Ovis aries: one gene and its partners. The protein of the gene in region 6 interacts with the protein of the main gene of each other region in a pairwise test. Links are inferred from orthologs where the notes say so. Each region holds a gene or a part of one and is shown on either strand. Other genes may lie near its edges.

What was found.
Region 1: the proteins of NIF3L1 (region 6) and BEND7 interact in binary tests that used the Homo sapiens proteins (3 or more experiments, as listed by UniProt). The two-hybrid records come from large-scale screens. The link is inferred for Ovis aries from reciprocal best matches to the Homo sapiens genes NIF3L1 and BEND7.
Region 2: the proteins of NIF3L1 (region 6) and RABAC1 interact in binary tests that used the Homo sapiens proteins (3 or more experiments, as listed by UniProt). The two-hybrid records come from large-scale screens. The link is inferred for Ovis aries from reciprocal best matches to the Homo sapiens genes NIF3L1 and RABAC1.
Region 3: the proteins of NIF3L1 (region 6) and DHPS interact in binary tests that used the Homo sapiens proteins (3 or more experiments, as listed by UniProt). The two-hybrid records come from large-scale screens. The link is inferred for Ovis aries from reciprocal best matches to the Homo sapiens genes NIF3L1 and DHPS.
Region 4: the proteins of NIF3L1 (region 6) and DMC1 interact in binary tests that used the Homo sapiens proteins (3 or more experiments, as listed by UniProt). The two-hybrid records come from large-scale screens. The link is inferred for Ovis aries from reciprocal best matches to the Homo sapiens genes NIF3L1 and DMC1.
Region 5: the proteins of NIF3L1 (region 6) and CDKN2C interact in binary tests that used the Homo sapiens proteins (3 or more experiments, as listed by UniProt). The two-hybrid records come from large-scale screens. The link is inferred for Ovis aries from reciprocal best matches to the Homo sapiens genes NIF3L1 and CDKN2C.
Region 7: the proteins of NIF3L1 (region 6) and NATD1 interact in binary tests that used the Homo sapiens proteins (3 or more experiments, as listed by UniProt). The two-hybrid records come from large-scale screens. The link is inferred for Ovis aries from reciprocal best matches to the Homo sapiens genes NIF3L1 and NATD1.

Annotation. Positions count from the first base shown.
Region 1 is NC_056066.1:27,526,944-27,530,443, forward strand, and holds part of BEND7 (BEN domain-containing protein 7), read right to left. Parts: intron 890-3,500; coding exon 624-889; intron 1-623.
Region 2 is NC_056067.1:50,855,831-50,859,810, forward strand, and holds RABAC1 (prenylated Rab acceptor protein 1), read left to right. Parts: upstream 1-1,180; coding exon 1,181-1,236; intron 1,237-1,515; coding exon 1,516-1,728; intron 1,729-2,053; coding exon 2,054-2,151; intron 2,152-3,560; coding exon 3,561-3,662; intron 3,663-3,744; coding exon 3,745-3,833; downstream 3,834-3,980. UniProt on the Homo sapiens protein: General Rab protein regulator required for vesicle formation from the Golgi complex. May control vesicle docking and fusion by mediating the action of Rab GTPases to the SNARE complexes.
Region 3 is NC_056058.1:11,115,727-11,119,756, reverse strand, and holds the start of DHPS (deoxyhypusine synthase), read right to left. Parts: upstream 2,801-4,030; 5' UTR 2,677-2,800; coding exon 2,470-2,676; intron 2,228-2,469; exon of another isoform or gene 2,024-2,227; intron 1,900-2,023; coding exon 1,735-1,899; intron 1,544-1,734; coding exon 1,422-1,543; intron 1,335-1,421; coding exon 1,238-1,334; intron 1,137-1,237; coding exon 1,050-1,136; intron 619-1,049; coding exon 513-618; intron 433-512; coding exon 329-432; intron 1-328. UniProt on the Homo sapiens protein: Catalyzes the NAD-dependent oxidative cleavage of spermidine and the subsequent transfer of the butylamine moiety of spermidine to the epsilon-amino group of a critical lysine residue of the eIF-5A precursor protein to form the intermediate deoxyhypusine residue.
Region 4 is NC_056056.1:216,055,378-216,059,579, forward strand, and holds the start of DMC1 (meiotic recombination protein DMC1/LIM15 homolog), read right to left. Parts: upstream 2,801-4,202; 5' UTR 2,672-2,800; intron 776-2,671; 5' UTR 743-775; coding exon 692-742; intron 48-691; coding exon 3-47; intron 1-2. UniProt on the Homo sapiens protein: Participates in meiotic recombination, specifically in homologous strand assimilation, which is required for the resolution of meiotic double-strand breaks.
Region 5 is NC_056054.1:25,433,819-25,437,269, forward strand, and holds the end of CDKN2C (cyclin-dependent kinase 4 inhibitor C), read left to right. Parts: intron 1-2,196; coding exon 2,197-2,574; 3' UTR 2,575-2,951; downstream 2,952-3,451. UniProt on the Homo sapiens protein: Interacts strongly with CDK6, weakly with CDK4. Inhibits cell growth and proliferation with a correlated dependence on endogenous retinoblastoma protein RB.
Region 6 is NC_056055.1:203,282,316-203,285,815, forward strand, and holds part of NIF3L1 (NIF3-like protein 1), read left to right. Parts: intron 1-109; 5' UTR 110-134; coding exon 135-570; intron 571-1,418; coding exon 1,419-1,581; intron 1,582-3,500. UniProt on the Homo sapiens protein: May function as a transcriptional corepressor through its interaction with COPS2, negatively regulating the expression of genes involved in neuronal differentiation.
Region 7 is NC_056064.1:34,974,254-34,978,448, forward strand, and holds the start of NATD1 (protein NATD1), read right to left. Parts: upstream 2,801-4,195; 5' UTR 2,786-2,800; coding exon 2,578-2,785; intron 1-2,577.

The DNA of each region.
Region 1 (3,500 bases), on a different chromosome or scaffold from region 6:
AACGGTAAGTCAGACGGTTGTCTTAGATGCCATCCAGTATCTTGGGCTGTGACGACCTTCGAGCTATGATATTAAAATAGAAAAACCTTTGCAGAGTGTTAACCTATCATTACACAGACTCAATGGCACGGCACTGCAACCTAATTAGCAGTGTGGCTTGCATCCTTGCATCTATAAAATAGAATTAGTGTGAGTACTGCTCTTTTTTTATTATTAGTTTGTGTTTCTAGAAAGGTGTGACCTTATCTGTAGGGTTCTGCTCATTTATGTCCATCTACAAAGGATTTAATTACATTCTTTTAGCTCTCTATGCTGAGGAAATTGAAAACGGCCGCTTCGAAATTACAAATGTTAACGAAATTAGTGAACAGAATATTTACTCCATCACCCGTCTCCTTTCGGAGAGAATGGAAACATGCTGAGGTAAATAAGGCCTAAGATTTTCAGAAGAGAAAATTCTGGGCAAGGAGAGCATTAAGAGTTCTCCTTTCCTCTTTCCCACGTGTATTCTGCAAGTTTCTCTGGTTTTCTTGGGCAGAACTAGTGAAGGGCAAAGTGTATAAATATGGCACAGTGTCTGAAAGTTACATATTAGCATGAGCAGCTAGAAAACATCAACTTACATCGGAGGCTGGTGATTCGAGCACGATGCCGAATCCTAGAATGTGGCTCTCCCCAGGGGAGGGGTGCTCGGCCACGGGGAGACTGGAATTCTCGGGGGCCCCTGCAGCCTTCTTCTCAGCTTCCAATGCACTGGGCTTCTGTTTCACAGTGAGAGGTTCCATAGTCTTTGGGGGCACTTTTTTCTTTTTATTTCTCTTGCGAGAGACGGCAGTTCGCTGGGAGCAGATAAGGGAAATTGGGGGTTGTTGTCTGTTTTGGGTTCCAACTGTGAACAACAAACAAAAATATGGTACAGGCATGTGTGTCTAACCTAGGAGAATATTCTTGCTCCATCAACTGAGGCTGAAACGGGTTCACTGGAGGATGAGGCACATCAAGATCAACCTCACACTGAACCTGAGCATGACCAAATGCTGCCTCAAAAGGTCTACAGGCAGGAAAAACCCAAGAGAAAACTCTCCTCCAAATCCTGGTGGCTAATTGATTACCTGGTGGGTAATCAATAGGAGGAAAGGATGATGAGCTATAGGAAAACAGTGAAGCATGATTTTACGCATCACATGACATTTTTGTATAACCAAGAACCCCAGAACTTAAATTGAGGTGTAGACATCTATGTTTTTTGGAAAGCCAATCTCGGGAACACTCCACTTGAGATTAAACTGATTGGTAGACAGCAACCTACAGGTGCCGAAATTAACAAAAGTCGGGTAACGATGCTCATTTGGGCAAGTCTGATCAAAAGCATCGCTTGAGAATGACCAGTAAGCATGTGGGCTAGGTCTGCTGGTCAATTTCAGGTCCAGTTACTCCTGCCTCACAAACCAATACTGTGCACACATCAGCCATCTCCACACACTATGCTACTGCGTTCTGACCAGGCTGTTTCTCCATAATCCAGTTTTATGTAGCTGAAAAATAGGAAAAATATAGTTCAGTACAAGAACAAATCAGTAAGGTCCAGGAATGGTCTGAGTTCCAAAGACGAGAAGCGCTCATTGAGAGCTGAGTGCTGATGTTGAATATATACTTAAGGGAATCAAGGATGGTAATTACAGTTCTCAGAGGTACCCTTCAGGATGTAGTGTTTGTTAACCATTTAAAAATACTCTGATTTAAAGTTTAGTAGGGAAATATGGCATTATTACCTAAATCTTCATGTGTTAATATGGTTTTTAAAACTATGACCACAGCTGCTTTTTCACAGAAATACAGCTCTGAAAGTAAGCCAGATGAAAACCTAAAGATCTTGACATGCACATATGGATCATTTCTTATCAGGTTGTAAATGGGGAATATTTGTACTCTGAACTTGATATTAGCATCTCTCAGCTGGACAGAAATTTATAAATAAGTATTAGAAACACTACTTGCACTGCAAATGAGCACTGAAAAGTTTTTTTAATCACCCATGCAGTAAGCAGTCTAGCTCACTGGTTCTCAACCTCAGCTACACATTAGTCTCATTGGATTCACCTTTAAAAAAAAAAAAAAAAAGAAAGCCAGTGCCTCAGCCTCAATCCAGACTAATTGGGACTGGAATTTCCCAGGGAGATGCCTGGGTATCGGGATTTTTTAAAAGCTCCTCCAGTGATCCCCAATATATAAGCCGGACTGGAACTTTTCTCTGTTAGATCTGAATTTTCAGCTGAGGCTAGGTCTCCATTTGGAAAGTTAGACAACTGAAGCGGTCATCAGTGATCTAGGACTCCAGCCTCACCAAGCCTCACTTTCCAAAATTAAAAGCGAAAATGTTTCAAGTTTAAAGAACACAGGGTCTGAGGTTTTCTTCTTCTGCAAGTCTGGACAGAGCTGTGTTCTTTCGAACCAGATCTTATCGCTTGATCTTATTCCTTGCCTTCTCCCTGAAGTAAAAGTGAAACTTTCTAAGTAGAAGGTAAATCTACATTTTATAGGTAATAAACCTTAAAGTCAATCTACTCACTCAACACAGATTCTTCAGCTTAAGAAAATTAAAGGAGACTAATTTATTCAGTTCATCCTTTGGGATCCCTGACAGCTCTGGGGTCGTTTACTGCCCTAATCTGCAAAAGTTCTTAAAAGGAAACAGGGAGACACAGTGGCATTTACTTAATAGATTCTCAAAAGGCTTCAGTCAAGGATTTAAATGGTTGCAATTTGTAGTTTGCCATTTTGGGAGTAAGGAGCTTAAGTAACAAAATAAATCATTACCATTTCATACGCATATTTTCTTAAGTGCTAACAAATTCTTCCTCTGAGGAAAGAAATCTGTACAGAACGAAGTAACCTTTCTTTCTGAGCTCCTTATTTAGGAGATGTTAGCCTCTGCTGGGTTAATAAGAACACAGATTATCCTTGTGGAACAAGGTGAGTTAAATGCTTACTGGCCTGACCAAAATGCTTTCACTTTTTCCCTTAGGATAAGACTAAATCCAGTGCATAAAATTAGATGTTGCTTCTCAGAAAACCTTTTGCTCATTTTACTTGCACGTGATCTTGGGTGACTGATATGTTTAAGTTTTTTAAGTATCAAACCACATCACTGAATATTAACATTTTACTAGAATTAACTAAACGGCACCAAGGACGATTTCTGACCTGTCTGAATACCTTTACAGTGGAAAGGGGGGAAGTTAGTTACATATGACTGGGCCACTTTCCAGCTTAAGGAGCAGTTTTCCCTGATGAAGTGGAAGGCTTAATGAAATGATTTATTATTTTCTGTTGCTGTTGTTCAGTCACTAAGTTGTATCTGACCCTTTGGGACTCCATGGACTGCAGCACGTGAGGCTCTCCTATGACAAAAAAAGCTTTTTCTCTCCTAATTTTGGAGACTAGAAATCACAGCGACTGTAATAAGGACCTAGACTTCCAGACTTCTAAGAAATGCTCCA
Region 2 (3,980 bases), on a different chromosome or scaffold from region 6:
CTAAGCACCATGTGTTGTAACTAAGACTTGATATAGCCAAAAATAAACAAATAACATTTTAAAAATTTTTTAGAAGGCTGAACTCTAGAAATAATTATAACAGCCATGATAATGTAGTGGCAATAGCATGGACTATTGTTTATCAAACAATTATGAAATATCAAGACTCTTTCAAGCACTTTACATGGATCATTCAACCCAATCTCAATCCCATGAGTGTGGTACTCCCAGGATCTTCACTGTCCAGATGAAGACACTGAGGTTCAGGGAGGTGATGAGCTCAACACAGCTTGAAGTTTGACCTCTGACCCCAGAATCCCAGCTCTTTTCGTTATGACATCTACATCTTTAAAAAATTCTCACCCCTTCAATAAAACTGGACAAAAAAATGATATATGAAAAAATAAAATCTCAACCTTTCCTCCCACTTCCCTTCACCCTAACCAAGGCAGGGGCATGCCTAGGTCCCTAATCCTAACCCATTCATCCTTGGGAGCCCAAAGGTGGGGGTGGAGCTTTGCTCCCCACCTTAGACACCCCTCCAGCAACTATGGTCCCATCACTAGCCTGTTAAAGAAGGAAGGAATAGACTCCCACTAATTCTTTACAGTCTCGCTATTCAAAATGTGGGCCATGGAGCATCACCAGAAGCATCAACATCACCTAGAAACTTGTTATAAACACGGATGAAGGGTCTCACCCTAGATCTGCTGAATCAGAACATCTGAGTGTTTTATTAAGTGTTTTTTTATACCTCCTAGAGACAGAATGACAGCTCTACACGGTCCCGGTTGTAGCCTGCACGGGGGAGTACACAGCGTCTTCTTGCCTTTAGAGCTTGCCTAACGCCCTGACTCCTGATAACCCACCTTCCCGGACTCCACAAATCCTAATTCGGAAACTACAACTCCCACAATGCCCAGAGGGGCGCTTGGTTCTTTTTACACGACTACAACTCCCAAAGTGCTTCGCGAGTCATGCCACCATCATGGTGCCCAGTCTCCCCGGCACCATCAGGACTACAACTCCCACAATGCTCGGCAGCAGAACTACCGTTCCCCAGCGGCTCCAGAACGACTACACGTCCGCTCCAGCTCTGCTGGGTGAGGCCGTTCTCGGGCGGGGCCCGCGGGGTCTGCAGAGCCCTGGGCTCCTTAGTTCTTCCCCAGACAACACAGACATGGCGGCCGAGAAGGACCAGCAGAAGGATGCCGAGGCGGAAGGACTGAGCGCCGCGTGAGCAACCGAGACCCGGGAGTCCTGGTCCCCCGACCCCTCCCCCCTGGGGGGTCCTAGGAATCCCGGCCTCTAGACATAAGAGTTTGGGCCTCTGTTGTCCTCTTCGAGGACTCTGGAGCCTGGACCCTCAGCCCCTTTCTCCCCTGAGATCCAGGAGCCTGGGACCATTATCCACCCCAGAACCCCGGAGTCCGGCCCCCCTCGGTCCTCTTCTTGCTGGAGGGTCCGGACTCCATCCCGGTCGGTCGATCGCTGACGTGACCCCTCACCCATCAGGACCCTGCTGCCGAAACTGATTCCATCTGGCGCGGGCCGCGAGTGGCTGGAGCGGCGCCGTGCGACCATCCGGTCCTGGGGCTCCTTCGTGGACCAGCGGCGCTTCTCGCGGCCCCGCAACCTGGGCGAGCTGTGCCAGCGCCTCGTACGCAACGTGGAGTACTACCAGAGCAACTATGTGTTCGTGTTTCTGGGCCTCATCCTGTACTGTGTGTGAGTGCCTCTTCGGCCCGTCGGCGCCCCGGTCCCCACCCCCTCCAGGCTGCGTGGCCCGCTCTGGCCGACCGCGCCCTCAGCATCCGGCCCCACCTCTCACTGCCCGGGCCCCATTCCCATGGGATGTTCTGCCGGAAGTTTTCACCGAAGGGCCAGGTCCCTAGTTCCCCCATCAACCTGGCCAGGATACAGTGTGACCAAATGTGACCTAGACTTCCCCGGCCCCAAGCGGATCGCCTGCCATCCGCCGATGGGAAGGTCAGGGCCTCCTTGTCGGGCCTAGCCCCGGCTCCCTGACACACGGCTCCCTGCCCCCTTCCAGGGCGACGTCTCCCATGCTGCTGGTGGCCCTGGCTGTCTTCTTTGGCGCCTGTTACATCCTCTATCTGCGCACGTTGCAGTCCAAGTTTGTGCTGTTCGGTGAGAAATCCCTTGCCCAGACTGTTCACATCCTGGTCTCTTGGAACGCAAACCTTTTGACACCAAACCCAAGTCCTTTCGAATCCATGTCTGCCCAAGCCTCTATCTACACTAGATTCCCCCAAACTCGGTCCCTTAAAGTCTCAGACACACCTGATGCTCCCACCCACTCTCAGCGCCCCCAAGTTGCTATCCCCCAAGTCTAGAAGATACTCCAGAACCCACCTCCGTCTGACTCCTTAAACCTCCTTCACTCTCCCTTCTGCCTAACCTCCTGCTAACGTCAGCTGCACGTACCCCCATCGGCCACCAGGTGGCGACTTCCCACTGGCCTATATCCGTGCTCCCCCTTTCCTGCTTCCTGGGGAGGAAGTGGAAATCTTGGGATTTCTGAGAGGGAGGCTGAGCCCTGTGGCTCAGGTGGTCCCAGATTGACACCGGAAACACCACTGAGAAGAAAGACAAGCCTGAGGACTTCCCTGGTGGTTCAGTGGTTAAGACCATGCTTCCAACGCAGGGGGCATGGGTTCCATCCCCCATCAGGGAACTAAGTCACACATTATGTGTGGTGCTGGCAGAAGATTTAAAAATAAAACAGAGGGCTCTGAGTTCCCAACTAGGGGATGCTCAAGGACTTTGGAGTGGGGCTAAGGGGGAATTGGGCTCAGATGAACAGGTAGACCTAAGACAGAATGCTTCAGAAGCCTGCCGGTCACGTAGGTAGGCTGGGTGGAGGGGCGCGCCGGGCTAGCCCAGGGCATGGAGGGAGCGCTTGGAGTATAGACACGACTTGGCTTCAGCCACAGCTGCCACCAGTACCTGCAGATCCAACCTTCCAATCCACCACGAGAAGCCAGACATCTGTACAGCTGCCCCTTGGTGTCCATAGGGGGTTGTTCCAGGAGCCCCATGGCTGGCAACGTCCACCAATGCTCAAGTCCCTTATGAAAAATGATGTAGTACAGCGATCCACGGGTTTCCATCTGTGGATGCAGAGGGCCGGCCTATTGTTATGTGAAATTACCCAGTTTTTCTGGCAGCCACAAACCAAATTCTGATGGAATAATGTGCAGACTCAAAAGACACATCCCCAGGTCAGATTTGGCTCTTGGGCTGCCAGTCGGAGGTTCCAGATCTGCACTAGTGCAGGTTGGAGCAGGAGAACTAGTCAGGAGAAGGAGGCTGGGAGCTTCCTAGCAGAAGTGGGGTTGAAGGGCAGAGGGCAGGGGGCTGAGGAAGGCACTCTGTTCCCACGGTCAGTGGGTAGGGCCAAGGGCTGGAGGGCCTTAGCACAAATTTAGATTAGACCCTGAGACTCCCAGAGCTTGCGAGGTTTGGGGGAGCATCAGGGGTTACTCTGGGAGGAGGCACGAGTCAGAACAGCTGCCCCAATGCCCTCTGCCCTGCAGGCCGGGAGGTGAGCCCCGCCCATCAGTATGCTCTGGCCGGGGGCGTCTCCTTTCCCTTCTTCTGGCTGGCTGGCGCGGGCTCCGCCGTCTTCTGGGTCCTGGGTGAGTACAGGGTCTGGGCAGCAGTGTGGGCAGTGGGGGCCTGGTGAGGCCACCAGGCCCTGAACTGCCCATTTTCCTGCAGGAGCCACTCTCGTAGTCATCGGCTCCCATGCCGCCTTCCACCAGATGGAGGCTGTGGACGGGGAGGAGCTGCAGATGGAACCCGTGTGAGGTGGCTTCGCGAGAGCCCCCAGCCTCTTGAGCTAGCCGCCTCTGTTCACCCCGGTCCCACTCGGCTCTGGCCAAAGGCCCCCTTCCCACGTCAAGACCAGGGAGGGACTCCAGCTTTGGAAATAAAACTGTTACAGTTGTTGAGCA
Region 3 (4,030 bases), on a different chromosome or scaffold from region 6:
CAGCCTCTGAAAAACCTCTGCTCACAGGTCACACTTCCCAGGAAGCATTCCCTTTTCTGAATAGCATGCCTTTCTCCTGCCCTCTTGTCGTCATCCCTGATTTTTCTTTGTAGCCAGTACTGCCACCTGATGTACGTGTCACCTTGTCACTGGTTTGCTGTTCATCTCCCCCACTAGAACATCAGTTCCAGGAGGGCAGGGATCTTGGCCTGTCTAGTCCACAACTGTTTCCCAGCACACGGCATGGGCCTAGTACACAGGCCTGTCTGCACAGCAGGCACAAGTGCCACCCCTCACTAGGGGCCGCACAGCCTGCATCCCTGCTCACCATGAGGTTGGCGTTGGCGATGTGGTGCTTGACCATGCCACCACCCAGGATGATCATCCCCGTGCGCTTGGCGAAGATGGCCTGTGTGTTGATGAGCCTGAGGTCTGGGAGAGAGGGCTGAGTCAGGCCACTGCAGGCCCAGGCAGCCCTCCTCCCTTGCTCCTCCGGGGCCCCAACATCTTACCCTCAACAATGTCCAGGACCAGGCCTGGGTTCTTATAGGAGTGGAAGAAGATCATGTCACCCAGCGAGCCATCTGTGAGTGCCGGGCTCAACACAGGAATGTGGTTCTAGAAAAGAGCAAGACAGGAGGCGGGCCGGATCTAACCCCTGTAGGGGCAGCCTGCAGGCATTTCCTCTTCTTTGCCTGATTCTGGGCAGGGTGCTTAACTTCACTTGGGCCTGGCACATGAAGAATGATAGTTCTTGTTTTTCTGATTGCTAGACCCCAGAGCCTCTGAGGAGCATGGAGCCTTCCAAGAGTCCCCATAGGAGCTGCTAAGTATTTTCCAACTGCTTCCCAGCAGTCTAGGAGTAGAGCCAGAATACCAGATCCACAGTCAATAGCTGTAGGACCTCAGACAAACTGCCTAACTTCTCTTTCTGAGGCTCCTTATGTAGGAGCAGGGATGAGGAGACTAGTACCAACTACCCAGGTGGCTGTGAAAGTGAAACAACACATGCCAAAAACCTGGCATCTTTGCCCCCGCCAGTCCCTCACCTTCTGGGCCCAGTAATACACAGACTCCGGGTTGTTTATCTCCTTGCCAAGCCGGGCGATCATCTTGGAAGGTGTCCACTTCACACCCTAGGAGGAGACATTGGCTTCAGGCAGCGGCGCCTCCCCTGACACCCACCATGCCATCAGCAAACGCACCCTCCCCCAGCCCCAGGTTGCTCCAGCCTCACCTCTGTGTTCTGCTCCAGCACCATCTGGTCCAGAATGGGCATCAACCAATCCTCAAACTTGCAGTAATTGTCATTGGGCACCAGCAGGTTTCCAATCCTGGGGACAGAAGATGTATGGGCATCAGGGCCCAGGACCCTCAGCCTGCCTCCCTTACTCAGCACCATTCAGCCCCCACCTACCCACCGGTTGATGCCGTTCTCACGTAGCTCCTTCCCCCTGAGGCTGAACTCGCCCAGGTATGTGGGCGCCAAGCACTTGATGAAATCCTCCTCCACACCCCCAGCTGTGGTCACCAAGACGTCCACCTGCAGCCACAAGGCAGTGAAGTTATTCCAAGCAGAACTCCTAACTCCCAACTCTCATCCAGTGACCCCTGTGGGGACCTCTGCTGCAAAACAAAACTAACCCATATCTCCCTATCTCACTTAAATGACCAGTAACCTTATTGCCCATTAAGACGCGGGGAGCCCAAGGCCACACCCCCACCAGGTCCCACCATGTTGTGCTGCACGAGGTAACGGATAGTCTCACGGATGCCTGAACTGATGAGGTTGGATGTGTAGCCCAGAAAAATGGTGCAGCCGGTGAGTGGGCGTCGGCTCTGGGTCAGGTCTGCATGTTGGTCTTCATCCTCGGATAGAGGCTCGAGTTTCTTCTCTATCTAGGTATGGGCAGAGCTGAGTTAACCTCTGGCCCCAAATTCCACCCCAAGGACCCGCGGTGGGTTTTGGTGTCAGACTCCCCGCCCAGGATCTGCCCATTCAAGGACAGAGAACCACTTCTACCTGGAACAGGGGAAGGAACACCCTTGTGTAGGCTCTGCCCTGTTCACAGCCCAAGTCTCAGGTCACATGCTTAGGCTTTGCCCCTTTTCAGGAATCCGAGAGCATCACTTTTTCAGGCCCGACCCCTCTCCCCACGGGGAAATGCAAACTCAGGCTCAGGTCCGGGCGGGTGTAAGGGTCCTCCTCCAATTCTTCGCTCAAATGGACTTTCTAGCCCAGGCTCCGCCCCTTCCACAATACTTTCACCTATTATCTATAACGCCCGCTCCCCGCCCCGCCCCAGAATCAGTCCCAACCACTCCCCAGAACAGAAACTCCCGGGCCCCATACTCTCTCCCACTATTGGACGAAGAACACACCTCCCAGAGAAGTCCCGCCCCCAGCTACCGCAGGGTGCTACTGGAGGCCACTCCCCCTCAGCCCCGGAAGTCTCACCCAGGCCTCACCATGGCGTTTACTTGCTGTACCGCGCGCCCGAAGTTGGTGGCTTGGAAACCAGTGGTGCTGAAAGCCTCTAGCAGTGCGCGGTAGTCCACGCCGCGGTTGAAGTCGTAGCCCCGGACCTGCGCGCTCTCGAAAGGCAGTGCCGAACTGTGCTTCAGCACGGCGGCCAGCGCGGCCGCGGGCGCCTCCCTCTCAGGGGGACCCTCCATGGTCCTGCAGCTGCACTCTCAAGTCAGAGCCGCCCCAGGCCAGCCCTCTGGCGGCCTCGAACTGCGCTAGGCCCCGGCACGCACTTCTGCAGGAGACTCAAGGCCTGGGGAACACTTGGGGAGTGCCGGAAGTTGTGTAATCACGTGACTCGCCGCGCCCGGAATCCAGGGCGCGGCCATCTTGTCTTGTACAGTCCGTAATACGGAAGCCGCGAGGACCCATTATTTCTATTCCGTGCGTTCCCGGCCGCCGATGAATGATTTTTACTTTTACTGCCGCCTGCTGGAAACCCACCGCGTTGCGTGGAGCTTGCCGGTTCGTGTATACCCTCTCAAAGAGAGAATGGTTTCTCAGACGTTGCCGTTAGACGGAATTCGAATCACCTGGAGTTATCAGACAGTTTCTGCCTCGGAGAGTCTCTCGTCAAATGGAACCGTGATCGCTGTTCGTGTCTTGCGAGTCTCTGGAGCCTCCATATGCGGCATAACCCCTGGTCTTCTCTGGCAGCTGAGCTGCCATATCCTCTGAGAAATCTTCCTTGACTTTCCTCTGGGTAAGGGATCTCCTGTGGGATCCATGGCTGACATCTCTTTCCCTCTAGCGAGCCTGTGAGATGCTGGAGGGTGGGGTCTATAATCTCATGGGTCCTCCTAACCATGCATAGGGTTTAGTCCGGTGAGATCCCTGTAATCACTCACTCTACAATTTATGGAGTCTGCGCTATATACTGTGTGTTTCCCTGGTGGCTCAGTGGTAAAGAATTCATCTGCCAATGCAGGAGACACGGGTTTGACACCTGGGTCGGAAAGATGCCACATGCCTCCGAGCAACTAAGCCCATGTACCACAATTATTGAGCCTGTGCTCTAGAGCCTGAGAGCCGCAACTACTGAAACCCACGTGCCCTAGAGCCCATGCGTTGCAAGAAGAGAAGCCACCAAAATGAGAAGCCTGCACACCACAATGAAGAGTACCCTGAGGCCGGGTAGCAATGAGGTAGAAATATCCCAGCACAGCCAAAAATAATAAATAATTTTTTGTAGAAAAACCCTCTTATTGTGGCTTCCCAGTAAGAGTAATACTCGGGCTCTTCCTTGTGGCCTAAGAAGGCACTGACTTACCTACCCTCATCCCCTACCACTTGTCCCCACTCACTTTTCTCCAGCTCCACTGATCTGACTGTTCTAGAACCCAACAAGCTCTTTCCTGACCAAGCGCCAGTGCACTTGCTGCTCTCTCTGCCTGGAACACCTGCTTCCCCAGCTCCTCCTCCTCTGGGCCTCAATCCAAATGTTACCTCCTCCAAGAGGCCTGCCCTGACCACCCACTCTTGCTCTTACCTTGCTTTTATTTT
Region 4 (4,202 bases), on a different chromosome or scaffold from region 6:
ACAATTCCATGTTTTTGTAACAGGTCAATGTCTTGAAACAAAGATTCCTAAAGGAGATGGAACAGGAAAAAAAGAGTGTTCATTCTTCATATCCAACTGTTTCACATATTTTAAAGGCTTAATTCAGCATTATGAGTCACTTCAAAATGCCTCAAATTCTGCTTCTCTGGACAAATTGAGGTAGGATCAATAATACTTTTTCAAACATATTGTTGCATACTTAAAAGCAGTGCCAACATTGAAAGCACTAGGAAGCCCAATATGGCACTCAGCCCCCTGCAGTGGAAGCACACGGTCCTAACCACTGACCCACCGGGGGATTCCAACAGTCTCTCCAAACTTTTTAAGACCTTAATCCGAAAGAGTGGAACAACACAAGCTATTTTTAAATATGTTTTCTCAGTCTTCTCCACCAGACCTTGAACTCCTTCCTCTGCTATTTGGTACCAATATGGCCATGCCAATTGTTAAATTAAAATACTTTCATGCCAGCTGCTAAGTAGCTAATCTTAGCTCCCCTTGCCAAACAAGTTGTTACATATTTCTAATAGTGCCTCTCTCCAGAACTATGTTTTATTTCTAATAAATAAAAATAGTAGTTAAGTTCCTAAAAGTAGTAGTTAACAGAGAAGGAACTCCAATTTTGTAGAATGACTGAATATCTATGTATCTTTCAACATTCTAGGCATACATCTTCATCTTGGAATCCTGGTTCTTCCAGCACAACTTGATCCTCCTTCATATTGAAGGGTGAACAGCAGAAAAATAATCAATTCTGGAAAAACAAGAAATATTAATAAGTTGTCACAGATCATATAGTACAAAATCCTTTGCCCATACAATTTTTTATTTCATTTCAGTCATCAAGGACCAGAAAGATAATTAGACAAATATTAGACCCCATGAGCCACAACTACTGAGCCCAAGCATCACAATACTAAAGCTCGTGTGCCCAGGGCCCGCCTTCACACAAAAGAAACCACTGAAATGAGAAGCTTGCCCACAGCAACTAGAGTAGCCCCTGCTGGCCACAACTGGAGGAGGACAGCAAATAGGAAGACCCAGAGCAGCCATACATAAATAAAATTAAATTTAAAAATTCCTTAAAAAAAATTTAGTTTGGAATAACTAGGCTGCTGCTGCTAAGTTGCTTCAGTCATGTCCGACTCTGTGCGACCCCAGAGACGGAAGCCCACCAGGCTCCCCATCCCTGGGATTCTCCAGGCAAGAACACTGGAGTGGGTTGCCATTTCCTTCTCCAATGCATGAAAGTGAAAAGTGAAAGTGAAGTCGCTCAGTCGTGTCCAACTCATAGGGACCCCATGGATTGCAGCCTACCAGGCTCCTCTGTCCATGGGATTTTCCAGGCTAGAGTACCACAGTGGGGTACCATTGCCTTCTCCATAACTAGGCTGGCCTATCTTATTTCTCCTAAGCCTGTGGCATTATTTCTTTTTTCTGGTGTGGTATGTGTGGGTGAGGGGACTAGTTTCATTTATTTCCTCAAAAATGGCCACACTGTATCATCTTTTGATTTCCTATTGCACAGTTACTCATGACTACCAATATCTTTTTGTCGTCTTGGAAGGTTATTTAGAAGTAGAACCTTAGGATTAAATAATGATACTAAACTTTCATATTTGTTAACAGTCTAAGAACTTTGACTTTAAGTCTTCCTTGCATCCTCCTGGCACCTAGAACTTGTCTATCCTCAATAAAAAGATATTATTTTTTCTCATGTACAAGGACTCCCTTCTGCTTTGGAAAGATGAGGCGCTCTCTTGTAACATATTTTTTTGTTTCATAAAACATTAGATGTATTTCATTTTATAATATTAACTAGCTTCAAGATTTTAAGATTTAAAATTATGGTGGATAGTCTATAGGGACACAAAAGAGTCCGACATGACTTAGCAACTAAACAACAATAATCTAGTATTTTAATGATAAAATATTAGGGCCAATAAGCAGATAAAGCCTTTAACTCAGGAATCTACAAGGCATGACTGTGTTCGTTAGAAAATGTAGTCCAAATAATCAGTTTTGCTCTATTTCATCTCCTCACTGAACACCAAACTAAGTTGGGGCCCAGCCCAGTGGGGAACAAACTTCGGAGGCAGAAGTAGGGTCGTTATCACCTAGTACAATAAAGTATTCGAGGAGACAATGTAAACGGAATCTTCTGGAATGCGGTCCCTCACGCAAGATAGCTAATCATATACATGATAACCCAAATTCTGTAAGTGACTGTCCTTTCTTTCTTAATAAAAAGATTGTTCTCCATCTTTCTCAAATAGCAGTTGATGGAATGAACAGGTGAATCTAAAGTAGGGCTCCCAAACACCCTGGCTTAGGGCGCCAGAAGCGGTCCCTTACCGTGGCGAGCGCGGTCCAGGTCACCCTCACCGCCTCCCCACCCACCGGCCATTTTCCTGACACCGGACTCCCTCATAAGGGGCCCGAGGAGGCCTCTTAGTCCGACTTGGTTTAAAATAAGGATTCTGGAAATCCCTCAAGAGCACTCGACGGGGTGGGGATGGGAGCCGAAGAGCACAAAGCCACCAGCCTAGGGCCCAGCAACGACCGTCGAGCACGACCTAAGAAAGGAAGCCCCCACTTCCCCTCACATTCTTCACCCGCCTTCCCCTTTTGCCATAAACACCACTCGTACCCACAGTCTCCCCCAGGTTCCCAAGGTATTCGAATCCCGCCCCCGGCCGGGGCTTTCTAGTCCTCAGGGATTCTGATTCGGAACCAGAACGCTGAGACAGGCGTCCAACACGTCCAGACCAAGAGGTTTGGCGCCAAACTGCTAGTCTGAGCTCGCGCCTGGCGTGGGCGGGGCCAGGACGGGGCGGGGCGGCCCCACCAAGGGCAGGGCGAAGATTGAGGGGCGGGGCCCTAGACTCGAGGAGAACGGAGGTGCGGGGCCGCGGGAGCGTCTTGCGGGCAAGCTTCCAGGAGCCGCGAAAGAACCTGCGTGGGTGGCGCGCAGGGGTGAGAGAGCGACGCTGAGGTGGAGAGAGTGCACAGAGGAGAGGCGCTTTGGTTGGAGCCGAGGCTGGGCGTCTCTAGAGCGGAGGGAGATGCTGAGGTCAGGAACAGACTCTGAAGCGGGGGGCGGGGGGAGGCTGAGGCGATGCATCGAAATTAGGGGGTACTCATGGGAAATAGATGGGGAAACAGTGGAAACAGTGTCAAATTTTATTTTGGGGGGCTCCAAAATCACTGCAGATGGTGATTGCAGCCATGAAATTAAAAGACGCTTACTCCTTGGAAGGAAAGTTATGACCAACCTAGATAGCATATAGGTCCGTCTAGTCGAGGCAATGGTTTTTCCTGTGGTCATGTATGGATGTGAGAGTTGAACTGTGAAGAAGGCTGAGCACCGAAGAATTGATGCTTTTGAACTGTGGTGTTGGAGAAGACTCTTGAGAGTCCCTTGGACTGCAAGGAGATCCAACCAGTCCATTCTAAAGGAGATCAGTCCTGGGTGTTCATTGGAAGGACTGATGCTAAAGCTGAAACCCCAGTACTGTGGCCACCTCATGCGAAGAGTTGACTCATTGGAAAAGACTTTGATGCTGGGAGGGATTGGGGGCAGGAGGAGAAGGGGACGACAGAGGATGAGATGGCTGGATGGCATCATCGACTCGATGGACATGGGTTTGGGTGAACTCTGGGAGTTGGTGATGGACAGGGAGGCCTGGGGTGCTGCGATTCATGGGGTTGCAAAGAGTCAGACATGACTGAGCGACTGGACTGAACTGAACTGAACTGAGGTGGGCGCTGAGGTAAAAACAAGCTGCAGTGAGAGAGAAGGCCCTTAGGTGTGGCCCTTAGGTTCTGAGATGAAGAGAGGCCACTGGAAAGGGGTCAGGACGTGGAAGACCGTGAGGCAGGGGAGGGGTGCTAAGCAGAGGTGACTGATGTGGTGACAGGTGACATGCAGAATACTTATCTTAATCAGGATACTCAGGTTAGGAGGTCGAATATGGTGGGGGCACGGGGAGTGGGGGGAGTGGTGGTGGTTCTCCCTGCTCAAGGCTTTTCTTTTCACTTCAAGTTTTTCATATCTGGCTTCATAATCTGTACCTAATACCTCAGTCAGTGTTCCTAATTTCTCTCCTTTCTTTGTGACTCTCTTACCATTTACCACTCTAGTCTGTGAGTGAGGCACCCAAGGCCCATTCAGGATGGAG
Region 5 (3,451 bases), on a different chromosome or scaffold from region 6:
ACTTAACCCTGTAAGAATAGGATCTTGCAGGACTTGTGACGAGCAGGAAGACTAGGAGATTAATACTGCAAAACAAAAGTTTTGACAAACATTTTTAATATAACTCTGCGGTCTTGTTTGTATTAAACATACTTATCAAGATATTAACACCCACTTATTGTGGCTTAGTCCTAGTACATATAATGAAACACACACAAACAGGAGTCTCAAAGCTTGTTTTCAGTATGTATAATCCCGACTCTGAAGTTGTATCATAACTCAAGAAAGAACTTTCTTTCAAAACAGTTTCCAGCATTGCTATTATTTTCTGTGGAATATGGCAAAATTTCTCCTACAGTAATGTTTATTTAACTGAATTACAAAAGGTTTTTCCCTCTTCCTAGTGTTAGCCTCTCAATCAGGATAATATCAAAGGCCCTGATCGTACATTTGCTTTACAAAGATTCAAGGTGTCTGTCTCCTATTTTTCCCAGTTCAGGTCTTTAAATGTAACTAAATATTTAGAGGCAATTGTGGTAAAAATTAGATTGTGTTAATTTTTAATAACCAAAAGTGTATTTCATCTAAGTTCTTAAAAAATAAATTATGTATCATTTTTAACCACTGCCCCAAAGGAAGGGCCAAAAGTCAGCAGTTTTATCAACAGGGAAGCTTAACATCTTGGTCATCTATATAGTTTGAATTTATAAAATATTATTCATTCTAAATATATTTTATATTACTTAATTTGTGATTTTTAAAACAAACATTCTAAAGAGATAGATCAGCTTTGTATGTTTTTCCAGGATGTATTTAATTTCGAGTGTCTACTATGCAATCTGTTTACTATAAATTTAGGTTATTATGAATATACCTAGGAATAAAACAATTAAAATGCTGAAATTTCCTTGCATGTTAATGAGACTATATTTTTTCACAACTAGATTATATGTATTATATAATTTCATGCTGCTGTACAAAATACTTTATAATTATGAGAGCCTAATAGAGACCTCTTATTAGAGTGAAATATATTCAAACACCAGTATATAAGTCTTTATCATGTAAATTAGTTGTATGTTGATAGTAAATTTTAATATCAAATTCTGGCTTTTAAAATATTGCCAGTTTACAAATAACTATTCCTAAATGCCTGATAATAACTGCTAAAGGAAATAAGATGAGGTCACCAGTTGATTAACAAATAGGCTGAAACCACAGACAAAGCTTTCTATGTCCCAAAATATACATTAAATATCTTACTTTCTCTTCTTTTGCTGAATTGAAATTAGGAAGCTACCTAAAACTTTTTAGGAGACAGTAAAATAGTAGAATGACTGTTCCATTCCTTTTAAGAACAGTTGCCATACAGTCTTTTCCTATCTAATACAGGCACATCATTAATATGTTATGTTTTAGATAAATCAGTATCATTGGCAATGTAAAAAACACTTGCTTTTTTTAAAAAAACACTTTAATATTCAATAACATTTTAAATTTTCAAGTGGAGGATTCTAAGCACTAAATACACCTAGTAACCCACATGAAATAATTGCAAAGAAAAAAAATTTTTAATTACTTGGAAACTTGGGGCTTATCTGTTTGGAGAGAACGTGTGAAAATTAATAATTTAAGAAAATACCAGGTTTGGATTTTTAAGAGATCATTTTTACACTGGTAAAATCAGCCTAGATGGAGTCTGGTGTGTGGAAGCATTTCTTTGAGGATTTAAAGAAGCTCATTCTCCTTCTTTTTAGCTATTAAGAAAAATTTTACCCACATTTAATTTTACAGAATCAATACCCCAGGCACAGTTTATGAACATGACGAACCAAACAGAAGACTTACTTAAATCTCAAGTTCCATTTTTTATTTTAATAAATTCATGAAATTACACAACTCTTTATGGGAGACAGAGAGCTGAGTTGTCAGCGAATTTTGTACAAATAGTACTCATTCTATTTTTATTAATCAATATATCCTACTTGATGGCTCGTTTAAGATATTCCATCATAGAAGCTCAATTTTTAGAAGTTTTCTTCTACTTTTACCTAATAGTACTCATCTGCTGCAACTGAGCCCTTCAAACTCCATCACATGGGTCCTCCCAAAGCACTCCTTCACCAAAAAAGTTACATAAATAGAAAGATGGATATTCTAAAATAGTCTTGTAGTAGGAGCGCTTGAAGGATTCTACCGTTTTTTCTTCTTTTCTAGGTTATGAAACTTGGAAATCCGGAGATTGCCAGGAGACTACTACTTAGAGGTGCTAATCCCGATTTGAAAGACCGAACTGGTTTCGCTGTCATTCACGATGCGGCCAGAGCAGGTTTCCTGGACACTTTACAGACTTTGCTGGAGTTTCAAGCTGATGTTAACATCGAGGATAATGAAGGGAACCTGCCCTTGCACTTGGCTGCCAAAGAAGGCCACCTCCCCGTGGTGGAGTTCCTTGTGAAGCATACGGCCTGCAAAGTGGGGCATCGGAACCATCAGGGGGACACCGCCTGCGACTTGGCCAGGCTCTACCGGAGAAACGAGGTCGTTAGCCTCATGGAGGGCAACCGGGCGGAGGGAGCTGCGAATCTGCAATGAATGTGGGGAGGGCTCTCCCACGCTGCCTTCTGTTTTGTCAGTTAATTGATTGGCTGTCCTATTTTAATATCATTTGTTAAAATTCAGTTTTGTCATATTTTAAGCAGTTAGTTAAAGCCTCTGAAACTGCCAAGTGGAAATCTTACTACAGCTTTATGAATATATTTAAGCAACATCTCTTTCACCTGCAAAACCCTGAATTCTAACATGTAATTGCAAAAGCTTTGGCTTTCTTCTGAATATTTTATCTTTCCCTGACTTTTCTCCTTGCCTCTCCCTTTGCCAGTCTCAGTACCCAACTTGGAGACTTTGTTTTTAAAATGGTTTGTCCTGATGCTTCTTTTGCCTGATTAAAACACATTTTCAAAACAGGACAATGTTTTCTGTGATTTCCACTCCTCTTATAATCCACACGTGATATGCTTCTTGCTAAGGAGAAGTAAACTGAAAGATCATGGTGTTTTAAGTCTTGACATTAGAACTAGACATATTCTATTGATGATCCAGTTAAATGCTTTTCTTTCTCTCCTCATGCCTCCCAGCAAAGATTTTACTTGATGCCTAATATGTCTGCTTTAAAATAGAGTAAGAACACATTTTTTTGGAAATCAAACCTGAAATTACCTCTGTGTAGACTTATCCTAATATTTGATCTTCCTTTTTTCTCAAAGTTAAGTCGTTGAAAAACAGGTTTCAGAAGTAACAATCTGGAATCAAATATATGTTAGCCCTAAAAGCCACTTCAAAAAGAAATTGCCATTAAAAAGTGCTTCCCATTTGTTGATTTTTTTAAATCACAAAATGAAACAATTGGTTAAATAGTATATTTCCCAAAAGTATACCATAAGTATGCTAAGTGTAACAATGGCTTTTTCTC
Region 6 (3,500 bases):
GGTCTTTTTTAGTGTAACACTACAGCTCTTTTGCTCATATACTTTGCTGTCTAAGAAGGTTTGAGTCTGTGAAGTGTACACGTCCTCCATAGTCTGTGTTTGACTTCAGATACTCAGTTCTGCCTGACTTCTGCATGTTGTCATCTCGTGTACTCCTGATCGCCACGACAGCCCGCCTGGTCCATTCCCGGATCTACAGCTCTTCCCGTTCCTTCATGGATCTGAAGGCTCTCCTTTGCTCCTTGAACGACTTTGCATCCCTCTCATTTGCTGAGAGCTGGGACAATGTTGGATTACTGGTGGAACCGAGCCCACCACACACGGTAAACACGCTCTTCCTGACCAATGACTTGACAGAGGAAGTGATGGAGGAGGCGCTGCAGAAGAAGGCGGATCTCATCCTCTCCTACCATCCGCCTATTTTCCGACCCATGAAGCGCATCACCTGGAAGACATGGAAGGAGCGCCTGGTAATCCGGGCACTGGAGCACAGAGTTGGGATCTACTCTCCTCACACCGCCTATGACGCTGCTCCTCAGGGAGTCAACAGCTGGCTGGCTAAAGGGCTTGGTGAGAAGCCTCTTGTTCTTTCCTATCTAGTTTTTTCCCTGTCAGTGCTTTGAAATTTTATAGAATGTCTTTTCAATAGTGTTTTGACCTCTTTAGGGATGGGAACCATTATTCTGTTTTTATGTATTTTTAAAATAACCTTGCTGAAACCTGACAATTAAATTATATTTGAAAATGAAATTTTATTCTTATTGAATAAAGACCACATGGGAAATCTTCATTTTTGGCTGAGCTTTGAGATTCCTTACTCAAGTGGCACAGTGCCTAGCACTCAGGCACTCCAGAAAAGCCTGTTGAATTGAATCGAAAGCTCAGGCCTCTCCAGAATATACTTCATATATCAGGCAGATAGTTTCACTGGATTAGTCCTTATGCCCAGCACAATGAGAGAATTCACTGTATGTGCTTTTAGCTTTATTTTTGGTAAGCCTTTTTAGTTTCCTTGTGCTGGGCTGAAGCTTCTGTGATGATATAATCTGGATTAGTGTGGTCAAGTGGATTATGAGCTTTGTGACCTGAATCATAGTTTACACAAGTAAATTTAGTAAGCAGTCTCAATTCTATATGTCATCAGAAATTCATGAGTCAATCTTGTCCAACTTTCTGTGATATTTAAGAGTCTTCTGGAAAATAGTTCTGAAAAGAAATATGATTCTGTATGACAATACAAAATCCTTAGGTTATGGGGACTATTGGGTGTATATGTAAGGACCATGTTGTGTGTGTTTATTATAGAAGCATCTAAGAATGAATCCTTTAAAGAATACTCATTTCTTACAGTAGTAGTTTTTAATTTAAAAAAAAAAACCCACAAAATCTCTTTTAACTCCTGACAATTTTTTTTCTAGGTGTTTGCACCTCCAGGCCCATCCATCCTTCCAAAGCTCCTGACTACCCCACAGAGGGAACTCACAGAGTAGAATTCAGTGTTACCCATACCCAAGACCTGGACAAAGTCGTTTCCGCACTGAAAGAAATTGCAGGTGTATCTGTGACTTCTTTTTCTGCTAGGTACAATATATTTTCCTCTTTTTGTGTATATATTAAGAATCTTTCTTACAAATTCTATAACCCTGCTATTTAAGTTTACAACAAATCATTTTCCTCAAGTGGCATCATTTTCCTCTGGTAGGTTTACAAAACAGCATTCTTCTCATTTGCATATGGGTCCCTGAGGAGGAAAACTATGGGATCTTTTCAATACAATAAAAATGATAACGCTTGTTGACTATTTTCTATGCAGGAAGGACTAAACCACACATCTTACAGTGTTTCTAATCCTCCTGACAGTGTTGAAAGGTATTTTTACTTTAGGGTATGTGGATAAACCCTAGTGATATACTGATAATATAGGTTTACTTTTATCAGTTCCCAGCAAATGATGATTCCCAAACACTTGAAAGGGAAAAAATACGTTAAAATGCCTCTCAGATATGCCAATCATTTATTTAATTAGGTCTGAGATACCAAAAAATGTTGGGACTAATTTACCCTGCTGCTGCTAAGTCACTGCAGTTGTGTCCGACTCTGTGTGACCCCATAGATGGCAGCCCACCAGGCTCCCCTGTCCCTGGGATTCTCCAGGCAAGAACACTGGAGTGGGTTGCCTACTAAAGCATTGTAAAAGACACATTATGCAGAGCTAGGACTTAATAATTATAAAAAAATCAAAGATAAATATAGTGACCTTTTAATAAAATGGAAATCTGTTAGCAGTAATCATGCCTTGGGTAAATCTCAACTGCCACTGTGCAAAGCTAAAATGGAAATCCATATAAGCTACACTAAGAATGACTCTTTGGTGAGTGGTTTTTACGTGTAGATACATTATACTAAAGCCATAGTAAATATCCTTTAATAGTATTGAGGGATTTCAAGATCCTTAAGGAAAATTATTTATAAGATTTTGCATAGATTTCGGTCATAGATATCTTTTACCATTCTGAAACACTGTGTAAATACTGAAATTAAAATTATACAAATAGAGCATGGAAACTTCAAACAATACCACAGTCCTCCTTGTCCCTTCTACTCAGTCCCAAGATCTTCAACTCGAGTTGTCTTTTCTTTTGTTTTCAGAGAAGTATCTTTCCAAACATGTATAGGGACATGAAGGAATGTATAGTTTTGTTTTAGTCATTTTTTTTTTTTAATTAAATGGTATGCTGTTTACTTGTCATAGTAATCTTTCCATGTAGATTTCTTATTATGAATGTACTATAATTTCTTGAAGCATTTTGCTTCCTAACTGGTGGACCTTTTAAAGAACTGATACACATTTAGTTTGGTTCCAGTTTCTCCATATTACAGGAGTATCTGGGACTTAACAATTAGACTGGGGACCAGGCATTGTTTTTGCTTCTTCTTTTCAAATCTCTGCAGATGGTTCCAGTGTTAAAATTATGCTTCCACATTATCTTGTAAGGTATCTTTTAGTTCTCAAATTCTGTGATTATATTTAGAGTTTATGATTAAATACAAAACTTTCTTGATGCTAGTTTTTTTGGAGAGGCTCTCAAATGTTCCTTTTTAAATTTTTTTTTGGCCGTGCCCCGTGGCTTTTAGGATCTTAGTTCACTGACCAAGGAGTGAACCCAGGCCCTGGCAATAAAAGCACCTAGTCCTAACCACTGGATGGCCAAGGAATTCCTAAGGGTATTGCTTTTTAAAGGGTGATTCAGGGACCCTCTGAATCATAAGCATAATGGGTGCTTTTGAAAAATGCATCACGTTGTTGTATGGCAGAAACCAATGCAAGATTATAGCAGAATTATCCTTCAATTAAAAATAAACAAAGACAAATGCAGATTTTTTTGCTTTATCCTAGATCTGTGTAATTAGAATGGGATTTGCCTGAGAGTCTGTCTGGGAAATTCTTGTATTCAATGATGTTTGAAAATTAACTTTTCTAGGGCTTTAAAACACTTGTT
Region 7 (4,195 bases), on a different chromosome or scaffold from region 6:
TCTCGGGAGCTGGAGACACGGCCACGAACAAGCCAGGCCAAGGTGCTTGGGGTCCTTCTCGCACATCTCTCAGATGCCAGTCTGAGCCTTCGGCAGGCCCATGGGCAGAACTTTCAATATCTGTCTGGAATCTGACCACTGTTCACATGTCCACTGGCCCCTGCACCCCCCATGGAAGCAGAGTCAGACCCCGCCCATCCTCAGCTCAGCGGCCTCCCCGCGGCCCTCAGGGCCACCTGCCTCAGCCAGCTGCTCCCTCTTCCTGGCACCTCCCCTAGAGTCCCCCAGGGCTGGGTCCTCATTATTTGAGGTTAGCCCACGTGTCACCCCAGCATTTCAGGCCCTGGATCGGGCAGTCAGACAAAAGCCTGAGCACCCATGTCCTCTCACACCCCATGTCAGCACCCCATCCACGCTTCCTTCAGCAAGCACCGAGGAACTGGGCTTTCTCCCCATCTGCTCACACTGCCTGCCCCCAGGCAGCCTGAGGGAGCCCATGACATCTGATCCACCCACTGCTCAGAACCCTCCCAGGCACCCATCTCACCCAGAGTCAAGGCCAAGTTCTCATAATGCCTGCCACAGCCCCGCACCACCTGCCTCCATGCCTCTTGATGCCCTCTGTCCTGTGGCCTGGCTCTGTTTCTCCCAGGACACATCAGGCACCCCAGGGCCTTTGCACTTGCCGCCCCCTCCACAAGGAGCACTCTTGCCACCGTAGCTCCCTTCTTTGCCTCCTTCTTGGGTGGTCCTCCTGGACACCTGACTCTAAACAACAGCCCTTGGGACTTGCCTGGTGGTCCAGTGGTTAAGACTCTATGCTTCCACTGCAGAGGGCAGGGTTTGATCCCTGGTTGGGGAACTGAGATCCCACATGCCATGCAGTGTGGCCAAAAAAACAAACAAAAAGCACCGGCATCTTCCCAACACCCCAACCTTATTTCTCACAGGTCTTGTTCTTCAGGATGGTCTATGCTTTATTGTCCACTGACCCTCAGATGGCTGAGCCCCCAGCACTTACAATAATGTGTGGCACATGGTAAGCTCTCAAGAAGCACTTGTGGCATGAATCCTAGTTCTTCTATCTCCAAGGTGCAAGACTGCAGGCATGTTGGTCAGTCTCCTATCCTAGCCTCAGTCTCCTCCTCTGTAAAATGGGCAGAGCAGCCCCTCCACCAACACCGCCCGCAATGCTGAGGATAAAGTAAGTGACTCCAGTGCGAGGGGCAAGCCGGAAACCCAAGGACTGAATGCACACAGCTGCTCTTTCCTCCCCAGACCTGGAACTTGCTGGGGACTCACCAGCCTAGCTCTGCCAGGGGATGGCTGGCACACACCTGTGCTAAGAGCCACAGGGCTGCTCCACCTCTCAGCCTCAGTGTCCACCTCTCTCACTGGGCACAGTGAGCTGGCTTCCAGGGCCTGGCTGAAACCATGGCAGGCCATTCCCTTCCTCAGCTGAGGCAGGGTTGGGGCCTGGGCACAGAGGAGCCCTCGGCCCACCCCTGTACACACCCAGACCATTTCAAGCCTGGATACACAGCCCAGTCTTGTAGACTGGTGAGAACTTGGCCAAGGATCCTGGTCCACTTTAGAGTCAGCCATCTGAGCAGGAGGCGACAGACAGGACAAGTTTACAAAGGCAGCTGGGCTCATCCAGTCCTGACCCCAGCCAACTCAAGAGGATGTCCCTAATGGCTGTACTCATTAGGGAAAAAAAGAAGGAACACCCCCAAAAGTCCCCTTTTTCTTCTTTCTCTGAGTGTTGAGGGTCTCCTGAACACCCACAAGGAAATCAGAGGCCTCTCAGGAGCCTTGAAAAGCCAGGGGGCCTCTTGGAATGAGAGTAGCAGGGGAGCCCTGAGAGTCACGGCCAGGTGCGCCAGGGTGGGCACTATATCGGAGAAGAGGAAGGAAAACGTGTTTGAGTTCTGGCCTGCGGGGGCCTCAGCTTACTCCTCTGAACACAGGGTGGTGACGGCCACGTCACGAGTAGGTTGTAACAGACGTGTGTTGGGGCCGGGTTCGAAGCCGAGCACAGCCAAATGGGGTCTGAGAAGGTGAAGTCCCAGCTCCGACAGAACCTCCAAGCGCAGGTGGGAGGAGTCCGCCCAGACAAGACCCTATTCGAGTTCTGCCCCTCCCCCCATTGCCTGACCTCAGGAAGCCTCGCCCTTCCCTCCTCAGACAAGGGCACAGTGGCCCATACGGGCCCATCCAGCTTGGGCACTACCACAGAAGGCCCAGCTGGGAGGGAGGAAAAAGTTATTAACAGAGAGGGGTGGGATGCCAGGAATTCAACCCTCCATTTCTCAATCAGGCGGAGGGGGCGTGGACTAGGAAGCGGTGAAGGGCTTGACTTCGCTTCTGGTTTAAGAAGTAATGCCCAATTACTTCCCTGGTGGTCCAGTGAGAGCCCAATGCAAGGCGCCCGGTTGGTCAAGGAACTAGATCCTACAGGCCCCAACTAAAAAATCAAAATTGCCGCGACTAAGAGTTCGCATGCCACAACTAAGACCCTGCCAGCAAAAAAAAAAAAAAAAAAAAAAATCAGTAAAGTCCTCCAGCACTGACTACCTGCCGCAGGCGCTGTTCTGAACCTCACTCTTACTGGGGCATCCAATTCTTCCCACCAGCCAGGAGTTAATCCCACTGTAGAGGCGAGAAACGGGCGCACAGAGATGAGGCAAGTTGGCCAAGCCCCAAAGCCGCCGGGGTCTGAAGGAGACAACGTCCCTCCCCGTACCCGCCCCGCCCCGCCCCTGACGGGCCGAAGCCCCTCCATCCGTCAGCCCCCGGTCGGTCTAGCAGGGTCTTCCAGCCCCCTCCGAGCAAAGAAGCGAAGATTCGCAGAGGCAGCCAGAAGCCACTCAACACCGGGAATGGGGAAATGGCGGGACACCCTCTCCCCGGGACCTCGGCAGGATCCCGGAAAACAGCCGGGCCAAGCAGGTGCGGGTTCCCCCGGGCCGAGGCGGGACCGGAGCCGCCCGGCGCCTGCCTCCGCCGCTCCCGGGCTCGCGCCGCCCTGGGCGCCCGCCCCCACCTGGCCCGCGAGTGCGCCCCCGGCCCTGCGGCGCGCAGACAAAAGGCGGGGGCGGGCGGGCCCGGCGTTACCGTTGAGCCGGACGGTGAACTGGCGACGCCGACGGTCGTGCTCCACGCGGATGGGGCAGCCTTGCTCCGGCGCGCCCGGCGACGCTGCTGCCGGCGACTGCGCCATGGGCGCTCGGACCCGGGCCAGGGGCGCGCGGCGGGCTCGGGGGGCAGCGCGCGGAGCCGCACTGGGGGCGACCGCAGGCGGCGGCGCGGAAATTGACACTCGGCGGCGGCCGCAGCAACAAAAAGGGGGGAGCAGGAAATCAGCTGTGCGGTCACGTGCGGCGCGCGACCAGTGGGCGCGCAGCCGCTCTGTTTTGATACATTCCGTTCGCCTCTTAAAGGCGCAGCGCCGCGCACAGCTCTGTGCTGGGGCCTTTGGGCCTCTGGCCCCGACCTGCAGGAGACTCTGGGGGACCCCCCAAGGACCCCGTCTCAAACACACGTTTCGACCTATAGGGCAGTTCTAACCGTCCCCTCGCAGCCACCATTTACTCAGTGGTTGCTGTGTGCCTGCGCGCAGCAAAGCCCCGGAAGCTGCAGAAAGCGCTCATGAAGCCGAGAAGTAGGTGCGCTTGACACAGGCGCCTGGGGAAGACCTGCGAGGGTCACACACCGCTGGAACGATTGTCCCGAGAAGCCTGGCTTGCGATCTGGTGAAAGGCCACCTCTAACCCCAGAAACAAATGTGGGAAGCTCCTTGGAGATCCCTGGACCCACTCACTGGGTGGTGGGGGTGGGGGGATTGAGTCCCAAGAGGGCCAGGGACTTGCTTGAGGACACACAGGACTCTGGGTGGGTGAGTGGGGAACAGACTACATTTTTGAAAGAGGACTGGACAACACCTCCCCCCCACCCCCTCCCCAACTGCTGGGATCCAAAGCCGCCCACCGAGTCACGTGACTGCAGGTTTTATTAGTTTGCTGGTGAAGGCGTGAGCGTGATGTCATTCCCACGTGACCACCGCCCGATTTAAGATGCCCATCGTTTGTGTTTCCCCCTCCAGCCATTGCCCTACCCTGTGACTAATTTGCTTTTCCTAAAACTTCATGTGAACAATATCATATAGTATGCCCTTTAAGGATTCAGTGTTCTT